2 linked regions of the Ovis aries genome follow. The protein of the gene in region 2 purifies or fractionates together with the protein of the main gene of each other region. This does not show direct contact. Links are inferred from orthologs where the notes say so. Each region holds a gene or a part of one and is shown on either strand. Other genes may lie near its edges.

Region 1 (3,426 bases), on a different chromosome or scaffold from region 2:
TCTTCTAGGGAGACTGAAATTCCAGATTCCGAGATATTTATCCACCTTCCCTTGAGGGAATGGGGCTCAAGCAAGTCAGGGGTTAACTTTTCTGAAAACACAATTAACTTTTTCCTATTCCTGCGTGGGGAGGGGAGGGATATATTTATTTAATCACTGGAGGATGGGGTGGTCTCAATCCAAGTGCTCCCTCCTCCCTCAAAGGCATAGACGCCTCTGTCGCAGATCCTACGTAGGTGGAACGGGACGCGTTGTGCTGTTGGGGAGAGAGAGAGAGAGAGAAAGCAGAAGGAGAAGGAGGAAAAAAAGGTTGATAGGTTTGTGCGCGGGTCCCTCGCGCGGGCTGCGCTCCTCCTGGGTGCTATTTGACAATTCCTGCCTCTGCCATTGGTCAGTGTTGGATCAGATGGTTGTATTTCCTTCTGGCCCTCACTGGCACCTCGCCATCCCCCCTCAGCTAAAACCCAATCTCAGATATACTACTAATAGGCGCGGCGCTCGGACTATAAAACACAACAAATCATAAACCCGGCGGAGCAGCAGCGGCCGCGCGCGCCTCCCCTCCCAATGAGTTCCTATTTCGTGAACTCCACCTTCCCCGTCACTCTGGCCAGCGGGCAGGAGTCCTTCCTGGGCCAGCTCCCTCTCTACTCGTCGGGCTATGCGGACCCTCTGAGGCACTACCCTGCGCCCTACGGGCCCGGGCCCGGCCAAGACAAGGGCTTTGCCGCTTCCTCCTATTACCCGCCGGCCGGCGGCGGCTACGGCCGGGCGGCGCCCTGCGACTACGGGCCGGCGCCGGCCTTCTACCGCGAGAAGGAGTCGGCCTGCGCGCTCTCGGGCGCCGACGAGCCGCCCCCGTTCCACCCGGAGCCGCGGAAGTCCGACTGCGCGCAGGACAAGAGCGTCTTCGGCGAGGCCGAGGAGCAGAAGTGCTCCACTCCGGTCTACCCCTGGATGCAGCGGATGAATTCATGCAACAGTGAGTGAGACTTGCTGAGGCCGCCGCGACCCCCATGGGCTCCCTCCCCCCTAGAGTCAGAACTAGAGAGCCCCCCCACCCAATTCTTCCACGGAGAAAGCCTCTCGGGTTGGAGCTTAGGGAAGATTGGGCGCCTGCCTCGATCTCCCGCGCTGCCCTCACGCCCTCAGGAGTTGCAAAGTTTGCAAAGTCCCAGATGCACTCCGAGCCAGGGGGAGCGAGTGGGTTCTCTGCGAGGGCCAGGCAGCAGCCGAGATCCGGGTCAGGGAGGCAGACAGAGCCCGCGCAGCCACTGGCTGGGCTCTCCCTGGCGCCCCCAGCTCTGGCCCGGTCCCCCACCCCAAGACTGTTCATTAAAAACGGAGTACGTCATGGGAAGGGGGGCGGCCTGACGCTGGCGAGGGAGAGTTGAGTCTGTCCCGGACTGGTTTTCCCTGGGGGTCGGGGGCTGGGGAAAGAGGAGGCACCCGGAAAGGGGTGGTAGTCAGAGGAGGGGGGGAGAATAAGGGGAAGAAAGAGAGGGAGCGGGCGGAGTCGGAGAGAGGGAGAAGCAGGCGCCGGGGTCTCAGGTTGGATTATTTGTCGGTCTTAAATCCCAAATTGATGTCCATTAACGGGACACGAAAGTGAGGAGCCCTTAATGCTGACTACGGATCGATCCACGTCATTACAGATTAAGGGCCAGAATCTGTCACGGGGTGGTGGGGGCGCCAGATGGGAAGAAAAGATGCGTCTAGGAAGAGACACACCTGGCCAGTGCTTCTCCAGCCCCTCCCCCTAGGCTCAGGTGGGATTTAAAACTGCTCCTCCCATCCCCCCACCAAGAATCTAGACAGAAGGCAAAAGCCGAGGAGACCCGGAGGGAATCTGGAGGGGGCGCTGGAGGAGTGAGGAAAGGGGGGGGCAGGGAACCAGGGAGAGTGGAGGGCATCCCGGGACAGGCTAGAGTCCCCGTTTGAGGGTCGAATGGGGGAGGGGGGTTCTGGCCTTGGTGACCCCAGACCTCAACATCTCCTCTATGCGTAACAGGTTCCTCCTTTGGGCCCAGCGGCCGGCGCGGCCGCCAGACCTACACGCGCTACCAGACGCTGGAGCTGGAGAAGGAGTTTCACTACAATCGCTACCTGACGCGGCGGCGGCGCATTGAGATCGCGCACGCCCTGTGCCTGACGGAACGGCAGATCAAGATCTGGTTCCAGAACCGGCGCATGAAGTGGAAAAAGGAGAGCAAACTGCTCAGCGCGTCTCAGCTCAGTGCCGAGGAGGAAGAAGAAAAACCGGCCGAATGAAGGCGCTGGCAGGGGGCGGGGGGACGCGAAGGGAGAGGCCTGCGGGGAACGGAGGGCAGCGAAGAGCTCCGGGGAAGGCTCTGCGGGCGGGGGAGCCTGGGGACCTGGTCTCCAGAGCGCGACAGGCGGGGCCCCGCGCTCTCCTGGACGCCCCCGCCCGCAGAGCGCTCGCTGGGCGCTGGGAGGCCGTGCTGCCTGAGCCCAGCCGGCACCCCAGCGCCGCCTCCATGCCCGCACAACCGCCTCAGCCCGAACAGGCTCCCGCGTGAGAACTGAGGACCGGACTCACTTGATGTTTCCTGGAAGCAGAGCAATATGCTCTTGTCCGTGTCGCGTCTCATTTCGTCCATGTCGCCCGTGCACGGTTCAATGGTAGATTCGCAGTCCCCTCAGCGGGGGCCTCGAAGACTCCCTGACCCCAGACCTCTCTCCCAGCCCCTCCCCAAAGCCACTGGAAGGAGCACATACTACCTAGAAGTAAGAAGAGGAGCCTCAGAAGAAAACAAAGTTCTATTTTATTAATTTTCTATGTGTTGTGTTTGTAGTCGTGTCTTAGCTCTGGACGTGAAATACTTCGGTAATAATATTAATATTATTAATAATGATGATAATAATAAAGACGTAAAACCTCGCTGCTCAGTCACCTCTGCTCCTCCCCTGCCATTCCCCCACCCCCACCGCCACCCCTGCGTCCCGGTGCCGGAAACTCTGCAGCGAAGGCCGGAGCTCTGGTCGGCCCCAGAGGGCCAGACGCGACTCGGAAGTTACAGTTGAGATAAAGGCTGCAGCGGTCCGGCCCAGACTCCAACGCCGCGCCTCGCCGGTGCTGAGGCTCACAACGGCCTTTTCTGGTGCAGAACTGGGGGACGGAGACGAGTCGTTCCCCTATTATTCTCTAGCTTTTCTTCGTTTGTCCGTGGCAGGAGGGAACGCCACCGAGGCCCCCTAGCCGGGAGCTCCTGCAGAGACTGAGCCCGGCGGGTCTCTGTGCCTCAGCGCTGGGTTATGTCCGCAGGATCCCTGAGGCCGGTGATCTTTGGCCTGCCCACATGGCCTGATTTCCGCCGGCCTTGGCCCTCGGCTCCTGGCCTAAATTGGGGCCACCGGGTGTCTTGTCTCCCTGCCCACAGCTGCAGTCTCCAGGCGTCCCTTCCT
Region 2 (3,650 bases):
CTCTAGACTGGTAGCAGTGATTGAAAAGAACTGGTGGAAATACTTAGTATTACTGTTGGTAAAATAATACAGGTAGCCAAAAACCAAAAAGTTAAAGCCACACTGGTTCTTCAGGTAAAACTTTCTAAAAAGAAAATCTGATTCAAACTAGTCGCTGTGTCGGGACATGACTTATGAATCATATATGATGTAACATCCACAAGTAAAATATGGACCTGAGAGTTCTAAAGAAACAAGCAACCATATCTGAAGTAACTCTGAATTCTTGGTTGAGAAAAGGTATTTCAGATATAAAATCTATATTAAACCAGTTATTCTAAAATAAAATTTAATTTTGATCTAGCTATTAATATGCCTTATATCACTATCGAAATTTCAGTAATTTACAAAAATGTCACCCGATTATACCCAGTCTAATATTTTAACATGAATAGAAATTACTAGTTATTAGAGAAAATCACAGATAATCAGAATTGCATCAAAGATGAGCATCTGAATTTCTATTAATATTTCTCATTCCAGCACAAATCCGTGCTCTCAACTATGTTCTTTCCCAATAACATGCTTCTTTCATTGTTTAAAAAAAATTTTTTATGCCAACTTAGTAAAATTCATTTCTTTGTGGAAAAATAATTTTAAATGGCTATTTTTTTTCAATCTTATCATTTTTACTTGGACAACCTGAAGGCTTTAGAAGTATAACTGACCTTTATTCCTGATGGGAAGAGTGGTGGCAACATTGGCAGGTGGTTTGTCAGGCTCCTGAGGTGGGACAACCATGGGCAGTGCTTGAACTGGTACTCGCGGAGCCTAAGACAAATAAAACTGATTATATTTCTGCCTTTCCTATACCTTCCATTAAATAATATGCTTTAAATGATTCAGTTGGTAAAGAATCTGCCTGCAATGTGGGAGACCTGGGCTCAATCCCTGGGTTGGGAAAATTCCCTGGAGGAGGTCATGGCAACCCACTCCAGTATTTTTGCCTGGAGAATCCCCATAGACAGAGGAGCCTGGTGGGCTGCAATCCATGGGGTCGCAAAGAGTCAGATATGACTGTGCGATTGGATGCCACAGAATGAAGAATAAGTTATGAAGATCCATTCAAAGTATTTTTAAACATAATCTCAGGAAACAACATATTTACTTAAAATATGCTGGTATCAAATTATTTCCATGACTTTTCTTTTTCTGGCCATACGACAAAAGTCCCATCCACTGGGACAAGGAAATCCCTCCAAGATATTTTTTTTAAACAGACTTGGAAATCAAAAGGTTATTCTGGCCATAATAAGAAAGCAAAGCAAAATGAAATCAATCTAGAACGTGAGTATTATACTGAAAGGTCATTACCCGTATTGAGTACATTATCTTTAACGAGAATTGCGTATTATAACAAAAAACAATCATTCTAGTTTAATCTGGAACTATGACTAAAAAAGGGATAAAGATAATATAATATAAAATGCTTTAGTTTAGAATCTTACCCTATTTAAATCGTGGGATGGGGGGGTTAATTGAGTGACATCTGGTGGAGGGGCTGAAAGCAAATTATTAGGATAGTCCAAAAGATAGCAAACAACGCTTGTATGACCACCTTTTGCTGCTTCTATCAACATAGTTGAGCCATCCTAAAAGAGTGAATATGGAAAGGGAAAAAACAGTTTTTCAAATTAATTTACAGAACCATTAAGGAAGATAAAGCCAACAGGTCCCAGACACATTACAGTTTCAATTTTAGTCAAGAACACTTTCCTCTAAAAAAAGAAAATGAACACATTCAGAATGTCAATACAAGTTGAACTTGTAGATAACGTGTTATGCTCAAGAGTGAAGATTAACTCACAGTGCTACCTGAAACACTTCAGTTACATACTTTTAAACGGTGAGTTGGATCTGCCCCATGAGCCAAAAGTAGTTCCACTACTGCCAGATGACCCCCTGCACAAGCCAGGGACAGTACAGTATGGTCATTATTAGCTGTGGTTCTATTCACATTTGCTCCTAAAACAGACAATCCATGAAAAATAATGTTAATAAAATAATCAAAGAGTAGAGAGAACAGGATAATGAAGCCCCACATATTCATTACCCAGCTTCAATGATTATAAACATGGCCAATCTCATTTCACATATACCCACATCCATTCTCCTCTCCCATCTTGAATTATTCTAAAATAAATCCCAAACATAATTTCATCCATAAATGTATAAGTATGCAACATTAAAAACTAAGGATAAAAATATATATTACTCAATATAATCACTGTTTTATAAAAGTAAAATATAAAATTTTATCTAAATTTTTGTATCTTCAGTGGGCAAGATGACTAAAAACCAATAAATAAATAAATAAATAAATAAATAATTCACACTGCCCTCTATGGGCCAAATAATGGAAGGAATTAACAAAAACTAGGAAGTAATAGTAGTAAAATTCTCATCTCTGATTTGCAGCACTGTGCGAGGCATGTGGGAAATGGAAAAAATAGCAGGAAGAAACTGGAATCAGATTCATTAAAATTAAACAAAGGAAGAGAAGAGATAATAACTGAAAATAATTTCATTCTTGAATACATGTGTTATTCATAAACATGTAACACAAGTGTTTAAATTGCCTAAAATAATTTGACCAATAAATTATTTCTGATTTATCAACAAACTTCAGTATTTTTGATAAAAAAGAAATGGCATATATTGCCTTTTTAATTGTATATCGTCTACATAGTCTCTCTTTATCAATGCTGAATCAAAAGTAAGATCTCTAATCTCCTATACTAAAGTTTATGAAAAAGTTTCAGCTTGAACTCATATAGTAAATACCAAAGAGATAATTTAAAGAAAGTAATAATATGCTACTTTTGTTAATAAGGATGTTGGTTTTCAAATAGAATAAATGACCATGAATAAAAATGCATTTTTGGCATATTTTTTCCATTTCAATTTTTAGCTTTTTTTGGGTGGGCTGTGCTATATTTATGATTACTTCTTTATATTTTACAAAGAAGGAAACCTAGGCCCAGGGAAATATAAATAAAGGAGAAAAGTGTCTTGCCTTCAAGTTAATCAGTGGCAGAAACTTGGCACAAAAATCCAGGTTTCAAGATAAATTATTACATAGAACAGACTTCAAGTAATCTAAACCCTCATTTACATAGAGAAATTTTTCTTTATTGAAATGTTACTCAACAAGTGTGTTACCCAGTATGACAACTCTTCATGGATGGTTCTGTGTGTTGCAGGGTATTTATCAACTACCCACTCACAAAAATCTCAGTAGCATTCCTCCATCACATGATACCCACAAAATGTCCTTTACCTCTAAATCCCTTAATACCCAAGGGCAGGGAATAGACATCTCTGGGAAAAAAATCACTGCCTTACACAAACCTACCTTTACTAATTAGGAACTGAACAGTACAAACATGGCCAGCTCGTGCAGCTTTCATTAAAGGAGTTCTTCCACCTTCAGATTCATGCTCCTGTTTAAAAAGTACAGACTTATTTGATATTTAATTTCCAGTGAACAATTATTCTTTTTCATGAAAATCAAAAGGAAAAGAATTGGACTAATTTTGGAATCTAAATATATTAAATAACGTGCTCTGAAGTAAATCAAGGAATATATTCTTTAAACTATCTAAAATTAG

Evidence for each region. Proteins that work in one complex are often made in the same cells at the same time.
Region 1: the proteins of ANKRD17 (region 2) and HOXB6 purify together in Homo sapiens (co-immunoprecipitation; 3 studies listed by BioGRID and IntAct, with this or other methods). This does not show direct contact. The link is inferred for Ovis aries from reciprocal best matches to the Homo sapiens genes ANKRD17 and HOXB6.

Annotation. Positions count from the first base shown.
Region 1 is NC_056064.1:37,626,239-37,629,664, forward strand, and holds the end of HOXB6 (homeobox protein Hox-B6), read left to right. Parts: intron 1-457; 5' UTR 458-567; coding exon 568-982; intron 983-2,011; coding exon 2,012-2,271; 3' UTR 2,272-2,902; downstream 2,903-3,426. UniProt on the Homo sapiens protein: Sequence-specific transcription factor which is part of a developmental regulatory system that provides cells with specific positional identities on the anterior-posterior axis.
Region 2 is NC_056059.1:89,004,811-89,008,460, forward strand, and holds part of ANKRD17 (ankyrin repeat domain-containing protein 17), read right to left. Parts: intron 3,483-3,650; coding exon 3,395-3,482; intron 2,005-3,394; coding exon 1,877-2,004; intron 1,632-1,876; coding exon 1,488-1,631; intron 811-1,487; coding exon 708-810; intron 1-707.